4 linked regions of the Anolis sagrei genome follow. The protein of the gene in region 2 interacts with the protein of the main gene of each other region in a biochemical or structural test. Links are inferred from orthologs where the notes say so. Each region holds a gene or a part of one and is shown on either strand. Other genes may lie near its edges.

The links.
Region 1: the proteins of KIT (region 2) and KITLG form a complex in vitro, tested with the Homo sapiens proteins (3 studies listed by BioGRID and IntAct, with this or other methods). The link is inferred for Anolis sagrei from reciprocal best matches to the Homo sapiens genes KIT and KITLG.
Region 3: the proteins of KIT (region 2) and SH2B3 form a complex in vitro, tested with the Homo sapiens proteins (2 studies listed by BioGRID and IntAct, with this or other methods). The link is inferred for Anolis sagrei from reciprocal best matches to the Homo sapiens genes KIT and SH2B3.
Region 4: the proteins of KIT (region 2) and YES1 form a complex in vitro, tested with the Homo sapiens proteins (2 studies listed by BioGRID and IntAct, with this or other methods). The link is inferred for Anolis sagrei from reciprocal best matches to the Homo sapiens genes KIT and YES1.

The regions. Positions count from the first base shown.
Region 1 is NC_090025.1:152,739,739-152,746,747, reverse strand, and holds the start of KITLG (kit ligand), read left to right. Parts: upstream 1-3,993; 5' UTR 3,994-4,298; coding exon 4,299-4,313; intron 4,314-7,009. UniProt on the Homo sapiens protein: Ligand for the receptor-type protein-tyrosine kinase KIT. Plays an essential role in the regulation of cell survival and proliferation, hematopoiesis, stem cell maintenance, gametogenesis, mast cell development, migration and function, and in melanogenesis.
Region 2 is NC_090025.1:74,176,263-74,183,601, forward strand, and holds the start of KIT (mast/stem cell growth factor receptor Kit), read right to left. Parts: upstream 3,017-7,339; 5' UTR 2,887-3,016; coding exon 2,823-2,886; intron 1-2,822. UniProt on the Homo sapiens protein: Tyrosine-protein kinase that acts as a cell-surface receptor for the cytokine KITLG/SCF and plays an essential role in the regulation of cell survival and proliferation, hematopoiesis, stem cell maintenance, gametogenesis, mast cell development, migration and function, and in melanogenesis.
Region 3 is NC_090034.1:30,911,739-30,919,489, reverse strand, and holds the start of SH2B3 (SH2B adapter protein 3), read left to right. Parts: upstream 1-4,735; 5' UTR 4,736-5,086; coding exon 5,087-5,152; intron 5,153-7,751. UniProt on the Homo sapiens protein: Links T-cell receptor activation signal to phospholipase C-gamma-1, GRB2 and phosphatidylinositol 3-kinase.
Region 4 is NC_090024.1:61,126,269-61,134,130, reverse strand, and holds the start of YES1 (tyrosine-protein kinase Yes), read left to right. Parts: upstream 1-4,846; 5' UTR 4,847-5,068; intron 5,069-7,862. UniProt on the Homo sapiens protein: Non-receptor protein tyrosine kinase that is involved in the regulation of cell growth and survival, apoptosis, cell-cell adhesion, cytoskeleton remodeling, and differentiation.

The DNA of each region.
Region 1 (7,009 bases), about 79 Mb from region 2:
AATGTTTTTTTAAAAAAAAAATAAATAAATCTAAAAAGCAAATCTTGATCTTGAAATTTTATATAAGAGATACCATTCCAGGACCTGAGCACAGGGTACCTGGAACTAACCCTCAGCAGATATGAAGTGCCCACTGTAGTCATGTATTGTACAAATTTACTTGGTCCATTTAGCCCATATTTATCATCTGGCTCCTGCACTTTTCTCTCAGCCTTGTCCTTGCAACTGTTTTGCACAAGCCCCTGCCTCACCTGTCAGCTCAGTACATGGCCTCTGGGATAGGCTATTGGTTGTTTTGATGGTTTGATTGTTGATGGTTATGTTTTTATGAGGTTTTTTATTTGAATTTTACTGTGTTATATTTTAATTTTTGTCTGACTGGGCTTGGTTCCCATGTAAGCTGCCCAAAGTCCCTTCAGGGAGATGGTGGCAGGATAAGAAAGTAAAGTTGTTGCTGTTATTATTATTACTACTACTACTATTTCTGTACAGCTGCTGCCTTTTGAAAAATTAGACAGAAACAAAGAAAGAGCAAAACAGTCACAGAAGTTTCTGGAATGTCTGTTTTTTGTGCAAGGAGAAAGGATGGGAAGGGTAACCTGAAAATACTGTTTCCAGAAATCCATGTCTGTTTGTGTGTGTAAAACTAGTGTTTTATCACAGAAACAAGAGTTTTTTCCCCTTCCAAGTTCTACTATATGTATTATGGGGTAAGAGAAAACCCATAAGTCCCAATGACAATCCTAAGACAATCCTAGGAACTACAAAGCAGACAATCCTAAGACAATCCTAGGAACTACAAAGCAGAGAAAAAAGAGTGATTTTTGTCACCCTTTACCTTCAATTTCCCTTTTATCATTCCAAGAGACTTCTGTCTCTGCCATGGTCTTTTCTTTCTTTCTCCATCTTTCCTATTCCTTCCTTCCTCTGTTTCCAAATCTGTGTGTACTGGACTTTCCCCTCCTTCCTATTTTTTTTTTACTTGCCATCATTGCTATTACCAACAAACCAACTTTTTTATTCCTTTCCCAAATGGAATTGTGCTCCAATTCATTTTTTTTGAATTTAATTCCAGACATGAGGGTGGTTGATGAATGGGGGCGATTAATAGAAAGAAAACTGATTGGATTGAATTGGATTTGGCTGGAAAATGGCAAATTAATTGGGGGTAACCCCATGAGTCACCCTTAGTTGGCTGTTTTTCACACTAGTTCATAGCTATTGCAAATTAATTGTAATTGGAGAAAACAACTAACTTGAGATGATCAAGGGGGGATGAGACGCAAATGAATTGGATGATATATTTTATTCACAGTGATTTCAATGGAAAATTAATTGCCTAGCTTGGCCATGTGTGCAATTATTTCTGAGTTTGCATGTGTAGTTATAAAATTAGCTCACACAACTCTGGAAATGAAATAGCTTTTATATTTCCTTCCGTGTTCCTGAAGCCTCTCTATCCTTGCTTCCTGCTCACCAGCTTCCAAGGCCTGAGCAACATTATAAGATCTACATGGCTTGGGTCCAGAGTTTCTGAAATACCATAAATGAACCAATAAGAGCCACACCAAGCTTCAAGATCAGCAGGGGAGTTTTCCCTTGGTCCTACCCTTGGTCATGGGCTCATTTGGGGAAAACACATAAGGGAACCTTTTCAGTGGCTTCTTCCAAGTCATAGAAATCCCTTCCTCAGAAGGTCCAGTTGTCCCTACTCTTGATGGTTTTCTGTTAACATCTATAGACCTATTTATTTAATGAGACATTTGGTTTGTTACGTGCCAAGAGGAAGGAGTGTCAAGCCAACTCTGATCGGAACCACCTTCCACCTGGAAATCAATGTCCACACTGCGGGAGAACATGCGGGTCAAAAATAGGGCTCCACAGCGACCTACGGACCCACCACCAAGAGACTACACTTGGAGGATTTGAACCACCAACCTTTCGGTCAGCAACCTCAGCAGCTCAGCATTTCAACCCGCTGTGCAACTGGGGGCTCTTCAAAAAGGTGAAAGACTTTGTAAAACTTTCAGGATTCCCTTGCCAGTTAAAGCAATGTCAAACTGTATTCATAGATGCATCTCCCCCACCTCCACGCTTTTGAAGGAGGTGCCTAGGCAAAGATACTTTCAGTGGTGCATCTATTAAGCCAATTTGACATCACTTTAACTGGCTATGGCATCGTGAGTTTTACAAATGTTTGGCCTTCTTGGCTAAAGTGGGTGGGTACCTCACCCACACTTCCAAGATCTGACAGCAGTGGTTCTCAACCTTCCTAATGCTGCAACCTCTTAATACAATACCTCATGTTGTGGTGACCCCCCAACCATTAAACTATTTCCATTGCTACTTCATAACTGTAATGTAAATATCTGATATGCAGGACGTATATTCATTCACTGGACCAAATTTGGCACAAATACCCAAGAAGCCCAAATTTGAATACTGGTGGGGTTGTGTGTGTGTGAGAGAGGGGGGTATTGATTTTTTCATTTGGGAGTTGTAGTTGCTGGGATTCATAGTTCACCTACAATCATAGAGCATTCTGAACTCCACCAACAATGGAATAGAACCAGTCTTAGCACAAAGAACTCCCATGACCAACAGAAAATACTGGAAGGGTTTGGTGGACATTGACCTTGAGTTTTGGAGTTGTAGTTCACCTACATCCAGAGAGCACAGTGGACTCAAACAATGATGGATCAGGACCAAACTTGGCACGGATACTCAATATGCCCAAATGTGAGCACTGGTGGAGTTTGGAGAAAACAGACTTGACATTTTGGAGTTGTAGTTGCTGGGATTTATAGTTCACCTAAAACCAAAGAGCATTCAGAACTCCACCAATGATGGAATTGAACTCCCATGACTAACAGAAAATATTGGAAGGGTTCGGTGATCATTAACCTTGAGTTCTGGAGTTCTAGTTCACCTACATCCAGACAGCACTGTGGACTCAAACAATGAAGAATCAGGACCAAACATGGCACGAATACTCAATATACCCAAATGTGAATGCTGGTGGTGTTTGGGGAAAATACAGCTTGACATTTGGGAGTTATAGTTGATGGGATTTATAGTTCACCTAGAATCAAAGAGCATTCCGAACTCCACCAATGATGGAACTGAACTAATCTTAGCACACAGAACTCCCACAAAGAACAGAAAAAACTGGAAGGGTTTGGTGGTCATTGACCGTGAGTTTTGGACTTGTAGTTCACCTACATCCAGAGAGCACAGTGGACTCAAACAATGATGGATCAGGACCAAACTTGGCACGGATACTCAATATGCCCAAATATGAACACTGGTGGAGGTTGGGGAAAATAAGAGTTTGGCATTTGGGAGTTCACCTAGAATCAAAGAGCATTCTGAACTCCACCAATGATGGAACTGAACCAATCTTAGCACACAGAACTCCCACGAAGAACAGAAAACACTGGAAGGATTTGGTGGTCATTGACTGTGAGTTTTGGACTTGTAGTTCACCTACATCCAGAGAGCACAGTGGACTCAAACAATGATGGATCAGGACCAAACTTGGCACAGATACTCAATATGCCCAAATGTGAGCACTAGTGGAGTTTGGAGAAAATAGACTTGACATTTGGGAGTTGTAGTTGCTGGGATTTATAGTTCACCTAAAACCAAAGAGCATTCTGAACTCCACCAATGATGGAATTGAGCCAAACTTTTCACACAGAACCCCTATGACCAACATAAATACTGTATTTTCTGATGGTCTTTGGCGACCCCTCTGAGACCCCCTCGCGACTCCCCCTGGGGTCCCGATCCCCAGGTTGAGCAGCACTGCCCCCCAGCATGGACCCCTGGCCATTCAAGTGCGTCAGCCCGCCTTCCTCTCTGGCTCTGGCTGGGAGGGCTGAGGTTGTCCTCCTGCGCTCCATCTCGCTGAAGTTCCCCAGGGCTCTCCCCCCCCCCCCAATTCCTCCCCCTTCCCTCCTTGGCAAGAAGGACGCCAGGAAAGGCGTGTCCTCCGCTTCCAAGCCCGAGCCGTGGAAGGAGGCAGCTCGCAGCTATATAAGAAAGGCTCCGACTGCTTCGCACAGTCCTCGCTTTGGCGGAGCTGAGAAGGAGGGCGGCTGTGCCAAGGCAAGGCAAGGCAAGGCAAGGCAAGGAAGCGCGTGGGTGGCGGGTCCGGGGCGAGGAGGGTCGCAGAGCCAAGCGAGGGAGAGCCCAATGCACGGACTAGCCGCCTTCGCAACATGCTGGAGCTACAGAGGCGCTAACAGGAGTTTGCACACAGCTGCTGAGGCGGGATTGCAGCGCTCTCTTTCCTTATGAAGACGGCACAAGTGAGTAGCCAAGCCGTGGAGGAGGAGGAGGAGGGGGGGGGGTGGCACTTCGCCCCTCGAGGGCAGCCTGGCACCGGTTTGCCTCGCAGAAGCGTGGGTTGAGGGGTTGCCTTCTTCCACGTGCGTTGGAAAACTGACCCTTTGCACACACACACACTCACATCTCTATGGGCATCAGTCGTCACTGGCGGAGAACTTGCCCAGTTTGCCAGGCTAGGGAAGAGCTGCCATGCCAAGGTGCCTTCCTAGTAGAAGCTTTGTCCTGGTAACTTGCCCAGGGAGAGCTGCCATGCCAAGGTACCTTCCTGGTTGAAGCTTTGCCCGGGGGCTTCCCTCCCTTGTTGCTTCTCTGCCCTGTCCTTTGTACATGATGGAGCTGGGGAAGTTCCTGCCTCTCCCTGGTAGGACCAAGGCACTATAAATAGTCAATGCATGATCAGGGTGTCTGCTAGGGTTTGGTTCCAGGACTCCCATGGATACCTAAGTCCCCTTATATACAATGGTGTTGTAGGTCAATGGTCTTCCATGTATACAATGGCAAAATCAAGGGGTACTTTTCGGGTTTTTTTTTTTTTCAAATCCTGGATGGTTGAATTCATGGATACAGGATTTATGGCAGTGGTCTCAACATTCTGAATGTCGTGACCCCTTAATACAGTTCCTCATGTTGTGGAATGACTGATGGTGCAGTGGGTTAAACCACTGAGCTGCTGAACTTGTTAGATTGAAAGGTTGCAGGTTCGAATCCGGGGAGCGGAGTGACCTCCTGCTGTTAGCCCCAGCTTTTTTCCAACCTAGCAGTTTGAAACATGCAAATGTGAGTAGATCAATAGGTATTCTGGCAGGAAGGTAATGGCATTCCATGCACTCCATGCGGTCATGCTGGCCACATAACCTTGGAGGTGTCTACCTCCAAGCTCTTCAGCTTAGAAATGGAGATGAGCACCAACCCCCAGAGTTGGACACGACTGGACTTATTGTCAGGGAAAAATGCTTACTTTTATCTCATGTTGTGGTGACCCCTCCCAACCATAAAATTATTTTTGTTGCTACTTCATAACTGTCATTTTACTACTGTTATGAATTGTAATGTAAATATCTGATATGTAGGATGTATTTTCATTCACTGGACCAAGTTTGGCACAAATACCCAACACACCCAAATCTGAATACTGGTGGGGTTGGGGGGTGGATTTTGTCTTTTGGGAGTTGTAGTTGCTGGGATTTACAGTTCACCTACAATCAAAGAACATTCTGAACTCTACCAACAATGGAATTGAACCAAACATGGCACACAGAACTCCCATGACCAGCAGAAAATACTGGAAGGATTTGGTGGGCATTGACCTTGAGTTTTGGGAGTTGTAGTTCACCTTCATCGAGAGAGCACCGTGGACTCAAACAATGATTGATCAGGACCTAACTTGGCACGTATACTCAATATTCCCAAATGTCAACACTGGTGGAGTTTAGCAAAAATAGAGCTTCACATTTGGGAGTTGTATTTTCTGGGATTTATATTTCACTTACAATCAAAGAGTATTCTGAACCCCCACCAACTATAGAATTGAGCCAAACTTCCCACACAGCACACCCATGACCAACAGAAAATACTGTTGAGAAAAACTGATCTATGGACAAGCAGTTTGGCACTATGATTCCATTCAACCTGCCCCATACAACAGAATTGGCAGAGATGCTGCCATGTAAAAGCATGCAATGGGCCTGCTTTGGACATTGCTCAGTGCCCACTTCCCTCTATCCTTGCCACTTCTATGCATTTTGCATCACACTCTGTACATTTATTGGCTCTGGTTCCATTTCCTCCCCACAAGGTGGCAAAGGATATATTCCCATTGATAGATGTATAGAGATGGACAAGGGGCATTTTCAGAGAAAAAGGGACTGGAAAATAAAATTCTGTTTTTATGTATAGATAACTGGTTAGCAAGCCAGGCCATGAAACAAAAATATTGTGACCGGTCCATCTCCAGCCACGTATTTGTGTATATCTGCCATTGTCTCTTTGAGTGACAGAGCCAATGCTTTCCCTTCCTCACTGACTTTTCTCAAAGGTTTATACTTTTCTTTACTCTTTTCTCCGAGGCACTTGCCATTTACCATTTTAGACACAGAAAAAGGCTGCAATAGAAGAAAGAAAGAGAAAGAAATCTAGGCTGGGGTCAGAAAACAAAATATTGATTTTGGAAATTTCAGATTTTTTAGAAAACCATCCATTTGTGAAACAGTAACTCCTTGGAATTGAGGGAGGAGGGTTGAAATGTTGCCATCACAGTATTTTTCCTTTTAAAATGTGTTAATGCCTGCTGGGTTGTTCTCTCATTGTCTTCCCATTATAATGGGGAATAAAATTCTTCAGAACATTCTATGGCAGGGCTGGGGAAGTTTGAACCACATATTTTAATTTACAATTAGGAGCCCCTGGTGGTGCAATGGGTTAAACCCTTATGCTGGCAGGACTGCTGACCAAAAGGTGGTTCGAATCCGGGGAGCAGGGTGAGCTCTCATCTGTCAGCTCCAGCTTCCCATGCGGGGACATGAGAGAAGCCTCCAACAGGATGGTAAAACATCTGGGCGCCCCCTGGACAACGTCCTTGCAGATGGCCCATTCTCTCCTGACACTCCTGACACACACAAACAGTGATCATGTTGGGTGGGCTTCTGGAAGCTGAATG
Region 2 (7,339 bases):
CTGCTTCGGGAAAATGGGTGTGTCTGTGCAAGCATCTCTGAATGCTGTGATACCTATTCAACTGCAATGGAATCCTGGAATTTGTAGTGTACTGAGGCACCTGCACGTTTGGGCAAAGCAAGCTCAAGACCTTGCAAAACAAACAAACACTCCGGACTCCATAGCATTGAGCCAGGGCAGTGCAAGTGGAGTAAAGGTGCTTGAAATCTGCAGTGGAGATGCACCCCACGACACAGATAATGATGAGGATGAGGATAATACAGGTATGGGCAAACTTAGGCCCTCCAGGGGTTTTGGACTCCAACTCCCACAATTCCTAACAGCCGGTAAGCTGTTAGGAATTGTGGGAGTTGGAGTCCAAAACTCCTGGAGGGCCCAAGTTTGCCTATACCTATGATCATCTATATATATAAAAATGCTGTTCATTTTGAGTGACATAACTCAAAAACCGCTGGACTAATTGCCACCAAATTTGGCCACAAGACACCTACTAACCCAAGGAGTGATCATCACTCAAAAAAATTAATTAAGTCATTTGGGAGTCGTAGTTGCTGGGATTTATAGTTAACCTACAATCAAAGAGCATTCTGAACACCACCAATGAATTGAACCAAACTTGGCACACAGAACTCAAAAGACAAACAGAGAATACTGGAAGGATTTGGTGGGCATTGACCTTGAGTTTGGGAGTTCTAGTCTATATATATATAAATGTAATGTTCGTTTGTGGGATTAACATAACTCAAAAACTACTTGACGAATTGCCACCAAATTTGGCCACAAGACACCTACTAACCCAAGGAGTGATCATCACTAAAAAAATTAATTTTGTCATTTGGGAGTTGTAGTTGCTGGGATTGATAGTTCACCTACAATCAAAGAGCATTCTGAACTCCACCAATGATGGAATTGAACCAAACTTGGCGCACAGAACTCCCACGACCAACAGAAAACACTAGAAGGGTTTGGTGGGCATTGACCTTGAGTTTTGGAGTTGTAGTTCACTTACATCCAGAGAGCACTGTGGACTCAAACAATGATAGATCAGGACCAAACTTGGCACGGATACTCCATGTGCTCAAATACAAGCACAGATGGAGTTTGGGGGAAATAGACCTTGACATTTGGGAGTTGTAGTTACTGTGATGTACAGTTCACCTACAATCAAAGAGCATTCTGAACCCCACTAATGATAGAATTGGGTCAAATTTCCCACACAGAACCAAAAATACTGTGTTTTCTGGTGGTCTTTGTCGACCCTTCTGACACCCCCTCACAACTCCTCCAGGAATCCCGACTCCCAGATTGAGAAACACTGACTTAAGACCATCCAGTCCAACTCCCTTCACCAAGGCAAGAAAACATAACCAAAGCCCTCCTGACAAAGAGCCATCCAGCCATAGATATAGATAGATAGATAGATAGATAGATAGATAGATAGATAGATAGATATGTTGACACACACATATATGTAGATGACAGATATAGTGTCATAGATTTGAAATGGCCCACTAAAGGACAATCCAGCCATAGATATACACAGATTTACATGATTCACACGCACACACATTTATGTATATGACTGATATAGTATCATAGTTTTGAAAGGGACCTCTAAAGAAGGAGATACGATAGCCATGTATAAATATGTGAGAGGAAGCCACAGGGAGGAGGGAACAAGCTTGTTTTCTGCTTCCCTGGAGACTAGGACGCGAAACAATGGCTTCAAACTACAAGAAAGGAGATTCCATCTGAACATGAGGAAGAACTTCCTGACTGTGAGTGCCGTTCAGCAGTGGAACTCTCTGCCCTGGAGTGTGGTGGAGGCTCCTTCTTTGGAAGCTTTTAAACAGAGGCTGGATGGCCATCTGTCAGGGGTGATTTGAATGCAATATTCCTGCTTCTTGGCAGGGGATTGGACTGGATGGCCCATGAGGTCTCTTCCAACTCTATGATTCTATGATTCTAAGGACAATTATATGTCGCATGTTCCAGAGTAGGCAAACCTGACAATCTCCACATCAACACTGACAAAGAAACAACAAGCATAAAGAAATTACATATATTAGAAACCAACACTTTCTCATTACTTTATTTTCCAAATCACCAGACTTTTCTTTTTTTTGGTCGTGTCAGGAGCGACTTGAGAAACTGCAAGTCGCTTCTGGTGTGAGAGAATTGGCCATTTGCAAGGATGTTGCCCAGGGGACGCCCGGATGTGTTTGATGTTTTATCATCCTTGTGGGAAGCTTCTCGCATGTCCCCGTATAGGGAGCTGGAGCTGACAGAGGGAGCTCATTCGTACTTTCCCCGGATTTGTGAGAGAATTGGCCGTCTGCAAGGACGTTCATCAGGGGACGCCCGGATGTGTTTGATGTTTTATCATCCTTGTGGGAGGCTTCTCTCATGTCACCGAATAGGGAGCTGGAGCTGACAGAGGGAGCTCATCCGCGCCCTCTCCAGATCTGAACCTCTGACCTGTCGGGTCTTCAGTCCTGAGGGCACAGGGGTTTAACCCACTGCACCACCGGGGGATCCAGATTGAGCCACAGCAATGCATGGCAGGGGACGGCTAGTATATTGTAATAATCAATAATAATCAATTCCTGGCTCCCTCGCGCGCGCCTCAGGGACGCTTCCAGCTCTTGGGATGCAACTTCAAAGCCAAGCCTTTGGAAGCGGCACCGAGGAGGGCGTGGAGCGCCTAACTCAAGCCGGACCGGGGAAAAGAAGCGAGCGAGGCGGCGCTGAAGGAGCCTTTGCTTCAGGTGCCCTAACACACGCCCCCTCCCTTCCTATTCCGCTTCACCCCGCTCACCCACCTGTTGCCGGGCAGCCCAGAAGCGCCGCCAGCCAGGCCACTTCGAGAGCCCAGGAGGCTTTCATGACGCCAGCAGCGAGCGTCCCTCCCGACGGACCGACTGACTGACTGACCTCTTCCAAAGCCAGGCGAGGAGTGAGAAAGGAAGCGCGGGCGGCGCGCGACACATCCAACCTCGGATGCCGCGCGCGCTGGCGGGAGAGGGAGGGAGGGGGCGTCCAACTCCCCCCTCCGGCTTCTCCCCTCCCTCCTTCCCTTTCTCTCTCTCTCTCTCGCAGCCACGCCCCTTTGTTTCTCCCTCGCTCGCTCGCGCACCCTCTTTTCTCGCCTCGCGCGCGCCTCAGGAAGACCGTTGGGCGCTTGCTCCCAGCTCTTGTGTCTGAGGCAGTGGGATTCTCTCCCCTTTTGTGGAAAAGTCAATTGCCTTTTCAACACATAATAATAATAATCACAACGCTACGTAACACGGTTTCAGTGCCTGACTTATCATTGCCATTTCCTAATTGGTCCTGTCATAAAAACATGGGGAAAGTTTATTAAACTACGAACACTTTATATAGGGTGCCTTTCCACATAAACCCCCCAGTTCTAAATGCCTCAGGAAGGGAAATGCCAACCCTATATCCCAGAATACCAAGGCAGGAAATCCCACATTGACTGAGTGTGGACTCAGACAACCCAGGGCCTCTCCACACAGCCCTATATCCCATTATATCAAGGCAGGGAAACCCACATTAACTGAGTGTGGACTCAGATAACCCGGGGCCCTTCCACACAGCCCTATATCCCAGAATACCAAGGCAGGAAATCCCACATTAATTGAGTGTGGACTCAGATAACCTGGGGCCCTTCCACACAGCCCTGTATCCCAGAATATCAAGGCAGGAAATCCCACATTAACTGAGTGTGGACTCAGATAACGGGCCCCTTCCACAAATATATTCCCAATATATATTCCCAAATATCAAGGCAGGAAATCTCACATTAACTGAGTGTGGACTCGGATAACGGGGCCCTTCCACAAATATATTCCCAATATATATTCCCAAATATCAAGGCAGGAAATCTCACATTAACTGAGTGTGGACTCGGATAACCTGGGGCCCTTCCACACAGCCTGGGGCTCTTCCACGCAGCCCTATATCCCTGAATATCAAGGCAGGAAATCCCACATTAACTGAGTGTGGACTTGGATAACCCGGGGCCCTTCTACACAGCCTGTGGGCTTTCCACACAGCCCTATATCCCAGAATATCAAGGCAGGAAATCCCACATTAACTGAGCGTGGACTGAGATAACCCAGGACCCTTCCACACAGCTCTATATCCCAGAATATCAAGGCAAGAAATCCCACATTAACTGAGTGTGGACTCGGATAACCTGGAGCCCTTCCACACAGCCCTATATCCCAGAATATCAAGGCAGCAAATCCCATATTAACTGAGTGTGGACTCAGATAACCCGGGGCCCTTCCACACAACCCTATATCCCAGAATATCAAGGCAGGAAATCCCACATTATCTGAGTGTGGACTTGGATAACCTGGGGCCCTTCCACACAACCCTATATCGCAGAATATCAAGGCAGGAAATCCCACATTAACTGAATGTGGACTCAGATAACCCGGTGCTCTCCCACACAGCTCTATATCCCAGAATACCAAGGCAGGAAATCCCACATTAATTGAGTGTGGACTCAGATAACCTGGGGCCCTTCCACACAGCCCTGTATCCCAGAATATCAAGGCAGGAAATCTCACATTAACTGAGTGTGGACTCAGATAACGGGGCCCTTTCACAAATATATTCCCAATATATATTCCCAAATATCAAGGCAGGAAATCTCACATTAACTGAGTGTGGACTCGGATAACCTGGGGCCCTTCCACACAGCCTGGGGCTCTTCCACGCAGCCCTATATCCCTGAATATCAAGGCAGGAAATCCCACATTAACTGAGTGTGGACTTGGAAAACCCGGGGCCCTTCTACACAGCCTGTGGGCTTTCCACACAGCCCTATATCCCAGAATATCAAGGCAGGAAATCCCACATTAACTGAGCGTGGACTGAGATAACCCAGGACCCTTCCACACAGCTCTATATCCCAGAATATCAAGGCAAGAAATCCCACATTAACTGAGTGTGGACTTGGATAACCTGGAGCCCTTCCACACAGCCCTATATCCCAGAATATCAAGGCAGCAAATCCCATATTAACTGAGTGTGGACTCAGATAACCCGGGGCCCTTCCACACAACCCTATATCCCAGAATATCAAGGCAGGAAATCCCACATTATCTGAGTGTGGACTCGGATAACCTGGGGCCCTTCCACACAACCCTATATCGCAGAATATCAAGGCAGGAAATCCCACATTAACTGAATGTGGACTCAGATAACCCGGTGCTCTTCCACACAGCTCTATATCCCAGAATACCAAGGCAGAAAATCCCACATTATTTGAGTCTATGGCAGGCATCCTCAGAGCTTGTGAGGTCTGTTGGAAACTAGGCAAGTGAGGTTTATATATCTGTAGAATGTCCAGGGCTGGATAAAGAACTCTAGTCTGCTTGAGGCAAGTGCAAATATTTCAGCTGGCGAGCTTGATTAGCTTTGAATAGCCTTGCAGCTTCAAAGCCTGGCTACTTCCTGCCTGGGGATCCTTTGTTGGGAGGTGTTACTAGCCCTGATAGTTTCTTGTCTGGAATCCCCCTGTCTTCTGAGTGTTGTTCTTTATTTACTGTCCTGATTTTGGAGTTTATTTTTTAAATACTGGTAGCCAGATTTTGTTTATTTTCATGATTTCCTCCTTTCAGTTGAAACTTCGCTTATTCTGAGAGAGGTCTAACAATCCATGCATTGCTACTGATACAGGTTGAGCATCCCTTACCCGGAATTCCAAAATACACCCCAAAATCCAAAATTATCCACAAGAGGGCCTGAGATAACAAGACCTTTGCTTTCTGATGGTTTCATGTATACAAACTTGTGCTTCATTTATATATATATATTTAAAATATATATTACATAAACTTAGTTGGAGGCTGTTTATAATTTTGGGTTTAGACTTGGGTCTTATGTCTAAGACATCTCCTTGTGTGCAAATATGCAAATACAGGAACCCAAAGAACCCCAAATCCAAAGCACTCTGGTCCAAGCATTGCGGATAAGAGATACTCAACATTTGTATGCTAAAAAGTAAACCAAGTATCCATAAATCACATTAGTCACTCTCGGTTGGCATGCCAGTCTTTCGCAGAGTGCAATTGAGCATACCCAACTCACAGTTTCCACATTTAGGAATAGTTCAGCATGGCTGCATCTGGGCCGGCTCCCTAATGAAAAACAGTGAAGCCACCACTTCTCAGGTGGCAACATCTGAGCCATTTCCCCATCATCTTTCAGCCCTGGCAGTTTCTTTATAAGGAATAAAGGCTATAAAGAAGAGGAACAACATTTTTCGACAACACAGATCCAGCCCTATTATATCAGGCTAGATCTACACTGCCATATAAAATCCAGATTATCTGCTTTAAACTGGATTATATGGCAGTATAGATCCAGCCTCAGTCACCAAAATGCCTTAGGGTGATCATGACCTGGACTCTGCTAATTTTTTCCCCATTTCTCTTATGGCATTTTTATTGAAGAATTGTGAATGTTAAGAATGTGTGGTATTGGATTGCCGTGTCAATGGGTAACAATAGAATTGTAAGCATTTGAGTAAGGCTGGATCTACACTGTCCTATATGCCAGGATCTGATTCCAGATTATCTGCTTTGAACTGGATTATATGAGTCTACACTGCCAGATAATTGTGGATCGGATCTGTGATATAGGGAAATGTAGATCCAGTCTAAGACCCCTTCTACACTGCCTTATAATTCAGATAATCAAAGCAGATAATCCATACTATCTGCTTTGAACTGGATTATGAGTCTACACTGCATATAATCTAGTTCAAAGCAGATAATCTGGATTTTATATGGCAGTGAAGTAGGGGCCTAAGACTTCTCAGAGACTAGTTAGGCTCCTTCCACACAGCTGGATAAATCCTATATTATTTGATTTGAACTGGAATATATGGCAGTGTGGACTTAGATAACCCAATTCTAAGCCAATATTGTGTAAATTTCTGCCTTGATATTCTGGGTTGGTTTTTTGTTTTTGTTTTTTTCGTGTCAGGAGTGACTTGAGAAACTTTTTTATGATAAAATATCAAAACATTCAGGTGTCCCCTGGGCAACATCCTTGCAGACGTCCAATTCTCTCACACCAGAAGCGACTTGCAGTTTCTCAAGTCGTTCCTGACATGACAAAAAAAATTGGATCTGGAGTTCTAGAGACAAGTATTGGTTGGCGAGACCTGGAAATTTGGGAGACTGTATCTGTGGCAGTGACAACATTGGTAGAAGTCCACTTTGTGCAGCAGTGGCCTATCATTCCGTGATAAAACTCAGTGCTGATCAAAATTGACCATGTGACCTTCTTTACAGAGAAAAGTCCTCTATTTGAAAAG
Region 3 (7,751 bases), on a different chromosome or scaffold from region 2:
TTTCTACCAAGAATATCAGTAATGGCAGGGAACAGGAGCCGAGCCAATAACTAGGCTTGCAGTGCCCCCTGCCGACCACGTTCACAATTTCCTAGCAAAACAAGCAGTTTCTGCTTTTCATCCAGGAATTATTCAGAGCCTCCAAAGCAGGCATGGGCCAACTTGGGCCCACTAGGTGTTTTGGACTTCAACTCCCACAATTCCTAATAGCCTCAGGCCCTTTCCTTTTCCTTTTCTGCTTAAGTGGCTGAGGGAGAAAAGGAAAGGGCATGAGGCTGTTAGGAATCCAAAACACCTGGAAGACCCAAGTTGGCCCAGGCCTGCTCCAAAACAAAGGTGACTTGGAACATCAAATTTAGCAGGACCCCCCCCCCCCCCCCAGCCGCTGTCGTCAGAAAGCATTGCCTGCTTTCATCAGTCCAGCTTTTGGTCCACCACTTTATTGGAAATATCCCCTTTTCTTCCCCTGGCCTGATCGGTGAAGCGGCCGTGCCACCTGCTGGTTACGTGGATGGTTGCCTCAGCCAAACCCAATTATGGCCAATTAAAGCATCCTTGTTTTCAGCTTTCACCCAAGAGCACCTTAGGACAGACAAAGCTGGGCACAGTGAAGTGTTTTTGAGCCGGATTGGTCTTGAGTGGCTATTGAGATCCATTAACCAACAAATGGGAGTAAGTGCAGCGAAATGGAGGTAATTGCTGCATAAACAAGGCCAATATACACAATTACGCCCTACCTGCTAATTCCTATTTTTAACTCCCCTGACGAGATGAGCATTGTGGACAATCGCACTGAGTGACTGTAGATGTACCAGGAAATTGCCCAAGGGTCAGCCAGCGGTCCATCGATGACACGGACACAGATCGCTAGCCTCCAGCTACATTATCAGGCTGGCTCTCCATTAATTTAATTGCTACCTTAAGAAATAGCTCGGTTCCATGTGATACTATATCCACGGGATTCTAAATCAGCCACTTGGGGGTCAAAAGATAACAACACCTAGCATCCGCAGACAGCATTGGAAGCCACAATCCCCAAAAGGCCATTTTTCCAAGGTGGATTAAGACAAAAGCCCAAGATGGCTTTGAGGTGTTCAAGTGGCCAGCAGGTGGCACTCGGGCCCAGCACTTGTCCATTCCTTCTTATTATTAAGAATTGCTGAGAGTTGCATCCGGCTATTATTCGTAATAACAGTCATCTTAACTCTTTTCATTCGGCTTCTTTTATCCATGCTTGGATTGCACAAAAACACTTGGATTATGCAACATGTTGCTCAGGCAATATGTAAAGCCCGCGGAGAGGAGGGGAAGCAGCTAATGATCCTAAGGAGTTGGGTCAAAACGACCTTTTCCTGGGTCGCTCTGTCTTTCTCTGAATGCAGCAAAGGCCCCAGAGTTGTAGTTTAGCAAAGCCCTGGCTTTCTTGAGCAGAGGAGGCCAAAGATAGTGCCCAGCCACAACGTCCAGGGCTCTGTCGCAGTTAAAACAGGGTCAGATTGCATTCATTTGACAGTATAGATGTGTCAGTTCTTGTGAGTTTTTTCGGGCTATATGGCCATGTTCTAGAGGCATTTCTCCTGACGTTTCGCCTGCATCTATGGCAAGCATCCTCAGAGGTGAGGTCTGCTGGAGCTGGGAAAAAAGGGGTTTATATATCTGTGGAATGACCAGGGTGAGACAAAGGGCTTTTGTAAGTTGGGCTAGGTGTGAATCTTTCAACTGACCACCTTGATTAGCATACAATGGGCTGACTGTGCCTGGAGCAAACTCTTCTTGAAAGGTGATTAGATGTCCCTGCCTGTTTTTCTCTCTGCTGTTTTTGCTGTTGCAATTTTAGAATTTTTTAATATTGGTAGCCAGATTTTGTTCATTTTCATGGTTTCTTCCTTTCTGTTGAAATTGTCCACATGTTTGTGGATTTCAATGGCTTCTCTGTGTAGCCTGACATGGTGGTTGTGAGAGTGGTCCAGCATTTTTGTGTTCTCAAATAAAATGCTGTGTCCAGGTTGGTTCATCAGGTGCTCTGCTATGGCTTATTTCTCTGGTTGGAATAGTCTGCAGTGCCTTTCATGTTCCTGGATTCTTGTTTGGGCGCTGCGTTTGGTGGTCCCTATGTAGACTTGTCCACAGCTGCATGGTATACAGTAGACTCCTGCAGAGGTGAGAGGATCCCTCTTGTCCTTTGCTGAACGTAGCATTTGTTGGATTTTCTTGTTGGGTTTGTAGATTGTTTGTATGTTGTGTTAGTATAGATGTGCTTTCTGTCTTTCAGGCAAGGTGTTTCAAACCAGGGCTTGGACTGTTTTTTTCTGTAGAAGGAATTGATAGTGTTACTTGTCAGACATTGAAGACTTTTAAGCGAGTGACAGTTCCTTTTGGGATACAAAAAGCTCTGGGTCCATCTATACTGTAGACTTAATGTAGTTTGGCACCGCTTGAACTGACATGGCTCAAGGCAATGGAATCTTTAGCCTCCTTTTCCAAACTACAAGTCCCAGGGTCCCACATCATGGAGCCAAGGCAGTTCCAGTGCAGTCAAGCTGCATTAACTCTGCAATAGAGACTGATCCTTTGTGTCTTCTCTTCAAATGCAGGCCAAAAGCCTATCAGAAAGGCTATTTGGAAAGAGCTGTAAGAGGAGTGCACTCTGCGCTTGCTCAGAAACCCTGCCCCTCTTAAAGCACATCCTTTTGGACTGAGGAGGTGGAATGAGGGCTGTCTCTGTACGAATCCTGGGAGTTGTAGTTGGATAAGCCTTCTCTCCTTAAGGCAAACTACAACTCCCAGGGTTCCTTGAGCTGGGGCTCCATTGCATTAAACTGCTGCAAAGTCATGCCAAACAACATTCCTTTTCAGGCCTTTCAAGCCAGGACAAGGCTGCCCCTCCCATTGTCCCTCCCTGATGGGAATTGCAGTCCAAAAACACTTCAGAGGACAAGATATGAGGAATTAAAAAAAAAACCCAAGAAGTAGGGAGCGGTGCTGGACATCATCATCATGGTCTTCCAAGCATAGGGTCTTGGCGGTGGAGACCCATTCTTGACCCACATGTTCTTCCACAATGAGGACATCCATTTCCAGATGGAAGGTGGCTCCAACAAGGGTTGGCTTGAAGCGCCTTCTTCCTCTTTATTCTTTTCTCCCAGGTCCACCCCCTTTAAAGATTTCAGCAGGGATCCCATCAGGTCCACTGGCTTTGTTATTTTAAGCACATTGTTCAATGTCCTTTCCTGTCCACCAACATTCTGTTTTCCGTTCTTGAGTTGGGAGTAGAATAACTACTTTGGGAGACTATGATCTTTGGGCATTCGGGCAATGTAGCTTTCGGTCCAGCTGAGTTGATAACAGAGGAGCATCGCTTCAATACTGGTGGTCTTTGCTTCTTCCAGCACGCTGACATTTGTCCGCCTGTCTTCCAAAGAGATTGGCAGGTTCTTCAGAGGCAAAGCTGATGGAGAAGTCAATTGTGATGTTTGTAGATGGTCCGTTTTGATACACTTGGAAGGACAATAGCTTTATAAGCAAGCATCTTGGTCTCCCTATTAACATCCGATCCTCAAACACTCTCTGCTTTATTCGGAAGAATGCTGCACTTGCAGAGTGTGTGATGTGACATTAAGACGAAACAAAACAGTGTTCCTTCTGGAAAGCGCCACTTGATTTTCCCCTCACAACAATCCTGCAAGGGAAAATGGCCAGCTAGGCCTTCCTCGTGCATTGAGTTAGGCCGTGGAAGTGGGCTAGTTATTTGATAACTTGTGTTGGGGAGCAGGGTGAGCTCCCATTGTTAGCCCCAGCTTCTGCCAACCTAGCACTTTGAAAACTCCATGCAGTCATGCTGGCCACATGACCTTGGAGGCGTCTACGGACAAAGATGTGTGGAAGGGCCCTGGGTCCACATTGCCATATATTTCAGTTCAAACCAGATATTGTGGGGTTATCTGCCTTGATATTCTGGGAGCCCTTCCACACAGCCATATAATCCAGAATATCAAGGCAGAAAATCTGCTTTGAACTGGGTTTTCTGTGTGTGTGTGTGTGGACTAACTTAAGAAACTGCAAGTTGCTTCTGGTGTGAGAGAATTGGCCGTTTGCAAGGACATTGCTCAGGGGACGCCCGGATGTTTTGTGTTTTACCATCCTTGTGGGACGTTTCTCTCATGTCCTTGCATGGGGAGCTGGAGCTGACAGAGGGAGCTTTCCCCGGATTCGAACCTCTGACCTGTCAGTCTTCAGTCTTGCTGCACAAGGGTTTAACCCACTGCATCACGGGGGCTTATCTGAGTCCACACTGCCATATATCCCAGTTCAAAGCAGATGTGGGATTTTATTCAGCTGTGTGGAAGGGGCCTGGATTATATGGGTGTGTGGAAGGGCCCTGGGTCCACACTGTCATATATTCCAGTTCAAAGCAGACAAGGTGGGATTTTTTACAGCTGTGTAAAAGGGGCCCTCAGATAGACATTGTGGGTTATTCTGCCTTGTTATTCTGGGTACTCTGGCTATATGGCAGGGCCCCTAGGGGCCCCTCAGAAAGGGCGAGGGACGAAGCCGCGAGGCGCTTTTAGCCTTTCCCGCCTTTTTCACTTTTTTTTAAAATTTCTTTAGTTTCCTTCGGGTCAGGCGCTTTTCCGTCGAAGTGTGCGAGCCCACCCCCCCCCCCCCGCCTTTGCCTTCCCTTCCCAGCACGCGCCTCTTTTGCTGCTCTTCCGTCGTCCCTCCCTCCCTCCGGCCGGAGCCGTCCAAAAAGGCAAGAAGGAAGCGGGGCGGGCGGAGGGAGGGAAGACGGAAGAGCCGAGAGGGAAGAGCGGCGGCAGCAGCAGCAGCAGCAGCGTTCCTTGAGTTTCGCCTCAGTAGCTTTCCAAGCGCGCTCCGACGGGCAGCGCCTCGGAGCGCTCCTCCCGTCGGCTAGGGCTTTTCTTCCTGCCGAGGGAAGGCTGCGGCACTCGGCGGCAGCGCTGCTGCTTCCCGACGGGGAGTATGGGCAAAGGGCTCCCCGCCCGGCGGCGCCTTCGACGTAAGCAAGCAAAGCGGCATAAAAGCGCGGGCGGCGAGGCGCGGGACCCAGAGGCCGGCTGGAGGCGCCATGCAGCGGCAGCCAAAGGAAAAGGAGGAGGAGGAGAAGGAACCCCTGCTGCTCAGCCAGGAGCCGGTAAGACCGCGCCCAGCCCTGGGAGTTGTAGTTCGCTACTGCTTCCAAGGACGGGGGTCTCTTGGAAGACAGCAGAGCTGCAACAAAAGACACATCCTGATCCTGACATACTATTACTACTGATAGTATTGCTACTATTCATACATACTAAGCATGGGCAAACTTCGGCTCTCCAGCTGTTTTGGACTGCAACTCACACAAATCCTAACAGCCGGTAGGCTGTTAGGAATTGTGGGAGTTGTAGTCCAAAACACCTAGAGGGCCGAAGTTTGCCCATGCTTGGTATATACTATTCATATTATTAATTCTAATCACTATATACATCATATTATTATTATTAATAATATTGTAATATGATATGTTATATAGGCTACAACTTGTGATATAGTACAATATATTCTATAATACTAATTAGATGGTACTATATTAATATAGTACCATCTAATAATAATAATAATAATAATATTGTAATATAGTAATGCTAATATATTAAATATAACAATATTGCAGTATAGTGGTATAGTAATGCTAATATAATATAAAATAATATATAATAATATATATTGATAAGATAATGTTATACAAAATACTCATAATAATCAATCCAATAAATAATAATAATAATAATAATATTGTAATATAGTAATTCTAATCTATTGAATATAATAATATTGCAGTGTAGTGGTATAGTAATACTAATACTAATATAATATAATATATAATATAATAATAATATATAATATTGATAATAATATTATAATATTATACAAAATACTCATAATAATGCCATCTAATAATATATAATAATAATAATATTGTAATATACTAATGCTAATATATTAAATATAATATTGAAGTATAGTGGTATAGTAATACTACTAATAATATAATATATAATATAATATATAATATTGATAATATTATAATGTTCTACAATTATATTAATAATAATGCCATCTAATAATATATAATAACAATATTGTAATCGTGTAATACTAATATATTAAATGTCATAATATTGCAATATAGTAGTATAGTACAATATAGTAATAATGTAACACAATATAATATTAAAAATAATACAATCTAATAATATATAAAATAATATTATATTGATAATAATATAATGTTATGCTATATACTTATAATGCAATCTAATATATAATAATATTGTAATATAGTAATACTAATATATTAAGTATAATATTGCAGCATAGTGGTGTAGTACAATGTAGTGATAATGTAATATAATATAATAATAATACAGTCAAATAATATATAATAATAATATATTGATAGTTACATTATGTTATGCAATATAATAATACAATCTAACAATCTATAATATTAAATACTAATATTAAATATAATTACTACTGATAATATATAGTAATATATCATGATATACTGTTTTATTTTTGTATATTTGAAGTTGTAATGGTTTTGATTGTGAGCCACTTTTGAGTCTCCATATGGAGAGATAACGTGGGATATAAATAAATAAATAAATAAATAAAACAATACTGGATAATATCTATAATATTGTATTCACATTATTAATATATAGTATTGATATGAGTATTGTGTTATTTGTAAATATATACAAATAATATATTTACAATATATAGTGTTATTCATATTAATAACAGTACTGTATTGTTATATGTATTTCTATCTATAATATCATATTCACATTATTAACATATAGTGTTGATATGAGTACTGTTATTTGTCTTTCTCTCTATAAAGAGTTACTATTCATATTAATAACTGTACTGTATTATTATTTGTATTCCTATGTATAATATCATATTTGATATTATATATAGTAATATTAACAGTACTGTATTATTTGTGTGTGTGTGTATATATATATATATACTAAGTACTATTAATAAAATATACTATTAATACTATTAATGTCAATATTAATTTTAATATATAGTATTAATAACAGTACTGTATTATTATTTGTATATATATAGTAATATAAACAGTACTGTATTTTGTGTGTATGTGTGTGTGTGTGTATATATATAAATACGATGTGCTATTAATAATATATACAATTAATAGTAAGGTTAATATTATAATATATATAGTATTAATAATAACAGTATTGTATTATTTGTATTTCTGTCTATAATATACTATTAGTATTATTTATAGATATAGCAATATTAATATATATGTGTGCGTGTGTGTGTGTGTGTGTATAGCAGTGCAGCTCTCTGCCTGGGAGTGTGGTGGGAGCTCCTTCCTTGGAAGCTTTTAAACAGAGGCTGGATCTGTCAGGGGTGCTTTGATTGTGCTTTTCCTGCATGTCAGAATGGGGTTGGACTAGATGGCCCATGGGGCCTCTTCCCACTCTATTATTATTATGATTATTATTATGATCATCATTATGGCTGGATGGCCATCTGTCAGGGGTGCTTTGATTGTGCTTTCCCTGCATGTCAGAATGGGGTTGGACTAGATGGCCCATGGGGTCTCTTCCCACATCATCATCATCATCATGGCTGGATGGCCATCTGTCAGGGGTGCTTTGATTGTGCTTTCCCTGCATGTCAGAATGGGGTTGGACTAGATGGCCCATGGG
Region 4 (7,862 bases), on a different chromosome or scaffold from region 2:
TAACTATAAAACACAAAATATTAAAACACACACACAAGGGGCCCCATATCACCTAATCAGTGGATACTGGGATCTTTGAGGGTACAGAGGTTGGCCCAAGTTTGGGGCATGGAAAGGGGCAATGAAAAGGGGGAAAGAGAGGGGAGAGAAGCCCTGCTTGGGATGGAGGGGCTGTATGATAACCGGGGTAGGCTGTGAAAGTAAAAAAGGAAAGCAAAAAGGACACAATGAAGGCTACAGTGAAACAAGTATGAGAGCAAAAGGACACCGAGGTGTCTATTTATTAAGGTGTTACTATGTACTTGTCCTATCTCTGCATTAAGGCAAGCAACTGGTGTAGCTCTGCTAAAAGTGTAGCTCAGTGAACATCTTTGGTTTTCTAGTGAAGAATTACCTGTATGGTCTTATGGATATTTCTTTATAAAGTCCCAAATAGAGCTCAGTTCATCCACTGGATAGTTAACTTTGAGTGTCTTGCTGGAAAAATACAGAAAACAGTTGGAACATTATACAAATAAAACAGGAAACCAGAGAGAGAGAGAGAGAGAGAGAGAACTTCTGGAACATGGCCCTACAGCCTGGAAAACTCACAGTGGTGATTTTGGTCATGAAAGCCTACAACAACACATTGGTTACTATGTAACTCATAAAAGGGGGTTTGGAGATTATGTATCTTCTGGAGCTTGTGGCTGCTGCAGGTCTTCCTAGGTTCTCCAGCTGGCCAATAGTTAAGGCCACTTTGTGGCCCCATTTCTTAAGGTTGGCTCTGCACCTGGTGGTGCCAGAGCGCAGCCTGTTCAGAACCTTCCAGGTCATCCAGATTTCTGTGTGCCCAGGAGGGAGTCTCACACCCAGTTTCAGCCACTAATTGAAGTGCTGGGTTTTAGCCTGCCACTTTTGGACTCTCGCTTGCTGAAGTGTTCCTGTGAGTGTCTCTGTACATCTTAGAAAATTATTTTTTGATTTAATGTGTTGGTGTGCTGGCTGATATCTGGACAGAGGGTGGGCCGGAGATGTCACTGCCTTGGTCCTTTCAGTAGGAACTTCCTGACTGTGAGAGCTGTTCAGCAGAGGAACTCTCTACCCCCTGGAGTGTGGTGGAGGCTCCGTCTTTTAAACATAGGCTGGATGGCCATCTGTTGGGATTACTTTGAATATGCTTTTGGACTTGATGGGCCATGTGGTTTCTTCAAACTTTATAATTCTATAATTCTATATAATACAGTGCATGCATTATTAGGGTACCTTGAATGCGATTTTCCTGCTTCTTGGCAGGGGATTGGACTGGATGGCCCACTAGGTCTCTTTCAACTCAAGGGTTCTATTATTATTATTATTATTATTATTATTATTATTATTATTATTTCTTATCAAAAGCATTGCATAAATTAGTATAAAACAGATGAAAATAGAAGGAGCACAAGTGGCTAAATATCTTTTGACCAAAAACGGGCAAAAGCAACAACATTGTCTGTAGCCTCCAACAATTCTTCCTTTGTACATGAGGCAGGGCATAGTGGACAAGCATACAGATGCAGAGTTGTCTGTTCTGCTCCAGTCATACAAGGTGGGGGATTCTTTTAGGTAGTGCCATTTTGCCAGGCTGTCTTTTGATCGATCCACTCCACTTCTGGGTCTGTTCAGGGACTTCCAAGTTGTCCATTCTTGGTTTGCCCCTGGAGGAAGACCCGGGGGGGGGGGGTGGCCATTCATTTAGGATTTCCTGGTTTAGCTGCCCAGAGGGATAGTATTGCCGTTACTGGGGGAACGTTAAAAGGAGTGGTGGTTCTCATTATAAACCAATTTCATTATAATGGAAACCAAAGTGCTCTTCCAGCAGGCACCAGCCAATCCGCCTGCAATGCCAGAAATACAGCTTAATGGTGTAACATTAGAAAATGTTGACCATTTCCACTACCTTGCCAGCTACCTCTCCACAAAAGTCAACATTGACACTGAAATACAACACTGCCTGACCTCTGCGAGTGCAGAATTTTTCCAAATGAAGCACAGAGTGTTTGAGGACCGGGATATCTGTAGGGATAACAAGGTGCTTGTTTATATAGTTATTGTCCTCCCAACTCTGCTATATACCTGTGAAACATGGACTATCTACAGATGTCACATGCAACACCTGGAACGATTCCATTGGTGTTGCTTCTGCAAAATCCTGCAAAACTTTTGGGAAGACAGGCGGACAAATGCCAGCATGCTGGAAGAAGCAAAAACCAATTCTGGCTTAGATGGCATTGGTTCTAATGGCTTGTTCTTGAGCTGCCAGAATCAGGCCCTCTGTCTCCTTTTTCAAAGTTCCATTTGTAAGCCACAGCCATGTTTTTTCTTCGTCAATTTGGCTCTCAATTTTTCCCAGGAACTTATTATTATTTCTCTATGATTATTGGCTGCTACTTCCTGGAGGATCTCTGGATTATCTGCCTTGATATTCTGGGTTATATGGCTGTGTGGAAGAGCCCCTAGTTTCTTCAAGTGTTAATCTGTTGACCTAGCACTCTTTGGCAAAAGCGAAAGCCCTTGTAAAACTATACACCTCCTGGGATTCCATAGTGCAACCAATAGGCTGTTAGGAATTGTAGGAGTTGCAGTCCAAGTTTGCCCAGGCCCCGTCTACACAGTTCCAAGCTGCATGGTGTTCAGAAGTGTGTCCCACTGCCTTTCTGAACAAATCAGTGTTGGGTTGTTGTAGGTTTTTTCAGGCTATATGGCCATGTTCTTGAGGCATTTTCTCCTGATGTTTCGCCTGCATCTATGGCAAGCATCCTCAGAGGTAGTGAGGTCTGTTGGAATTAGGAAAAAGGGTTTATATATCTGTGGAATGACCAGGGTGGGACAAAGGACTCTTGTCTGCTGGAGCTAGGTGTGAATGTTTCAACTGACTGCCTTGATTAGCATTTGATGGCCTGGCAGTGCCTGGGGCAATCTTTTGTTGAGAGGTGATTAGATGTCCCAGATTGTTTCCTCTCTGTTGTTTTGCTGTTGTAATTTTAGAGTTTTTTTAAAAACTGGTGGCCAGATTTTGTTCATTTTCATGGTTTCCTCCTTTCTGTTGAAATTGTCCACATGCTTGTGGATTTCAATGGCTTCTCTGTGCAGCCTGACATGATAGTTGTTAGAGTGATCCAGCATTTCTGTGTTCTCAAATAATATGCTGTGTCCAGGTTGGTCCATCAGGTGCTCTGCTATGGCTGACTTCTCTGGTTGAAGTAGTCTGCAGTGCCTTTCATGTTCCTTAATTTGTGTTTGGGCAATGCTGTGTTTGGTGGTCCCTATGTAGACTTGTCCACAGCTGCATGATATACGGTAGACTCCTGCAGAAGTGAGAGGATCCCTCTTGTCCTTTGCTGAACGTAGCATTTGTTGGATTTTCTTGGTGGGTTTGTAGATTGTTTGTATGTTGTGTTTCCTCATCAGCTTCCCTATACGTTCAGTGGTTCCCATGATGAATGGCAAGAACACTTTTTCTCTGGGTGGATCTTTGTTTTTACTCTCATGGCTTGTTCTCGGTCTTGCAGCTTTTCCGATGTCTGAGGTGGAGTATCCATTGGCCTAACAACCACGATGTCAGACTACAAAGAGAAGCCATTGAAATCCACAAGCATGTGGACAATTTCAACAGAAAGGAGGAAACCATGAAAATGAACAAAATCTGGCTATCAGTATTAAAAAAAATTACAACGAGAGGTGGCCCTAGGTAATTTTCAACAGTAAGCAAACAGTATCCCCCCCCCCCAACCAATCACTGATATATATTTTCTGTTCGTCATGGGAGTTCTGTGTGCCATATTTGGTTCAATTCCATCACTGGTGGAGTTCAGAATGCTCTTTGATTGTAGGTGAACTATACATCCCAGTAGCTACAATTCGCACATGTCAAGGTCTATATGTATGCAACTGGAGCAAAACATTGATGTATATATTAATTTCAGTCCACCAGAAGGCCTTTAGTAGGCCGAAGCCGGTAGTGGACGGCTGATTTACAAGCTACTCATAAGAAGATACGACTGTACTAAAATTTGCACAATATTGTTTGTTGTTGCTGTGAGGTTGAACAGTGCGGCATGTTTATGTACTGTTGTTGAATTATATTATTGTTTATCTTATACAAGTGGTATTTTTGTTGTATGCACTTCATTCAGGAACCCATTTATATTATATTATAAGGTCTATTTTCCCCCAAGAGCGCCCCTGGGCAAAATCAACTATACTGCAAATGCTTACTTTGCGTAATGGGTTGAGCCGCCCTTGATTACAACAGCAAAACAACAGAGAGGAAACAATCTGAGACATCTAATCACCTCTCAACAAAAGATTGCCCCAGTCACTGCCAGGCCATCAAATGTTAATCAAGGTGGCCAGCTGAAACATTCACACCTAGCTCCAGCAGACAAGAGTCCTTTGTCCCACCCTGATCATTCCACAGATATATAAACCCCTTTTCCTAATTCCCACAGACCTCACTACCTCTGAGTATGCTTGCCATAGATGCAGGCGAAACGTCAGGAGAGAATGCCTCTAGAAAGTGGCCATATAGCCTGAAAAAACCTACAACAACCCAGTGATTCCTGCCATGAAAGCCTTCGACAAAATCAGTGTAGTCTGGAATAGAGTTGCAAAGGAAGCTTTCTCAAGACTGTTCCTTAACAACTCTCTCTTTTCACTTTGAAAAGAGTGAGAGAAGCCTCTCCCCCTCCCCTCCTCTCTCCCTACTTCCGGCTCCGAAGTCCAGGCTCCGTCCCATTGGCGGGGGAGTCAGGACCTGGCGCCTTTCGGCGAGGGGCCCGCCAGGGGGCGCTGCGCGGAAAGGGTGAGACCAGCCCTCTCCTGTCCTCTCCTCTCCTTCCGGAGTTTCCCCTCAGCAACAGCTGCTGCCTCCCCCCTCACAGCTCTTCCTCCGCGGCCGCCATGTTGGCTCGGGATGGTGAAGCGGGGCTCCTCTGAGGGCTTGTGAACGAGCTTGAAAGCCCTCCATGGAGCTCCTGGAGCGGGGCTGAGCGGCCCCTTCCGAGGCGGAATTATTCAGGCCCGCCGAGGAGCCCTCTCCGTCAGGCAGGTGAGCACCCTGGGCGCTTCTCTCTCCCCGCGCTTCCCGCAGAGTCCCTTGGAGAGCGCTAGGCCTCGCTTTCAGGGCTGAAGCGACGCTTTGACGCAAACATGGGCCCTCCAGATGTTTTGGACTTCAACTCCCACCATTCCTAACACCCTCAGGCTCCTTCCTTTTCCCCCTCAGCCGCTTAAGCGGCTGAGGGGGAAAAGGAAAGAGCCTGAGGCTGTTAGGAATGGTGGGAGTTGAAGTCCAAAACATCTGGAGGGCCCAAGTTGGCCCACGTCTCCCTGGACGCCATCCTCTCTCGTGCCTGCTTCGAGTCTCCTTCCTAGGAAGTTTCCCCAAAACTTCCTCCTCTTCCCCCACCTCCTTATTGGAATATGTGTGTGTGTGTATGTTGTCATGTGCATCTCTACACTTAGACTTTTAACTACCACGACTCCATTCCAGGGCTTCCCAGTTCTCAGTGTTCTAACTGGGAAGCCCTGCCCCTTGAGTGCTCCAGCTTGAGGTCAGCTGTGACCAGCAGTGCTGCAGAATTTGAAGAGGCACGAATGGAGGGTGAAAGAGAGAAACGTGCCAGGAGGAAGGCGCGTCAAGCCAACCCCGGCCGAGACTGCCTTCCATCTGGAAACCAATGCCCTCACTGTGGGAGAAGATGCAGGTCAAGAATAAGGCTGTTTTGATACTCTGGGTTATATGGCTGTCTGGCAGGCCCCTGGAAAGGGGATTGTGTGCCAGTTTGGGGATGCATCTACATCAAGCATGGGCAAACTTAAGCCCTCCGAGGTGTTTTGGACTTCAACTCCCACCATTCCTAACAGCCTCAAGCCCTTTCTTTTACCCCCTCAGCTGCTTAAGGCCTGAGGATGTTAGGAATGATGGGAGTTGAAGTCCAAAACACCTGGAGGGCCCAAGTTTTCCCATGCCTGATCTACACTAGGATTGATGCACTTTGACACGGCTTTTAACTGCTATGGATCCATGCGATGGGATGTGTAGTTTGGCAAGGCACTCTTCTTTGGCACAGGAAGAGTGAAGACCTTGCCAAACTAGAACTCCAATGATGTGTGTGTTTGTGTTGGTCCCCTTTTCACTCTTCCTTTTCTTTCCTCACACCTCTCCTAGGCTCCTTCCACACAGCTGAATAAAACCCCAGTTATCTGCTTTGAACTGGGATATATAGCAGTGTAGACAGATCACCCTGTTCAAAGTAGATATTGTGGGATTGCAGATATTGTGGGATTTTCTGCCTTGATATTCTGGGTTATATGGCTGTGTGGAAGGGCCCTAGAAAGTTTCCCCTAAACTTCCTTCTCTGTTCAATCTACTTGGGGGTTGGGAGAGTAAGTAAAAATTAAACAAAGTAAATAAAACTTTTATTTCTATCTCGCCCTATCTCCCCATGGGAACTCAGGGTGGTTCACGACATAAAAGGCAAACATTCACTGCTGTATAATACAACAATGTATTGAAAGTGTTTTAGAGTTGAGATTATAGGATCATGTTTTGTGGATTTCTTCAAATGATTTCCTTTTTATTCATAGTCTTCAAGGTATACAGTGGCAGAAGGTTGGTCGCCTCCTGACCTGTGCTCACTAAACAAAGCTGGGAGCCAGGGAGGAGAGCTTTGTTTTGTGTGTGTTTTGGGAGTCTCCTTCCTATTTACCTTTCCATTTATTTCCTCTCAACTGCCCTTGAAAGTTTTCAACAAATTTCCTCTTTTTCACACCAATGGAAAGGAGATGTGCCTATTTTGGGGTTAAACACTGGAGTTTATGTGGTTTGATGCCATTTTCACTGCATGGCTCAAAGTTGTGGGATTTGTAGTTTGGTGAGACCCCAGCAATCTTTGACTGAGAAAGACCTTGTAAGACTGCAACTTCCATGCTTCCATAGCATTGACCATGGCAGTTAAGGTGACGTCAAACTGCATTAACTCTACAGTATGGGTGCAGCCATAGTCAGCGGATTTCCTTCTAGTGTTTCATCCTCAAGATACATTTGGGCTCCTGTCTTTCCTCCTCTTAAAGAGCCCACTATGCAGATGTGGCAGCAAGGGAGGAGAGCTGCATTTTGTGTATGTGTGTATTTGGAGCCTCCTCCTCAGTCATGGTTTGGTTCTTTCCTCCCAACTCTCTTCTCGGCCTATTTCTTTGGGGGTGTAGGTGTTGGAGGGCAGATTGTGTACATGTTTTGGCCTCATAATGTGGAGATTCTTCAGAGGACCTCCTTTTAGTGTTTCATCTTCAAGATACATATTGGTGGATGGTTGGGCTCCTCCTAACCTCCCGACTATGCAGAGGGGATGGCCAGGGAGGAGATCTGCATTGTGTGCGTATTTGGGGGTCTCTTTCCCACTCATCCTTTGGTTCTTTCCTCCCAGTTGTCATAGGAAAATTTCCCCAAAACTTGTTCCTCCTTCCCACCTATTCCTTTTGGGTGCATCTATGCATTCCCCTTAAGGTAACTTAACACCACTTTAACTGCCATAGCTCAATGCTATGGAACCTGAAATTTGCAGAGAAGACTAAAGATCCTGTAAAACGTCAACTCCCAAGATTCCATAGCATTCAGCCACGGCAGTTAAAGGGGTGTCAGATTGCATTAAAATGTCATCCTTGGTCTCAGAGTCATTGTGGACATTATTCAAAGGACTTGAATAATGTTTTGTTCTCAAGATACACTTGATATACTTTGGCGAAAAGTCGAGCATCTGTCTTTCCTCTACTATCCTCCTCCTAACCTGCCCACTATGCAGAGGTGGCAGCCACAGAGATCTGCTTGCTTTCTGCATTAG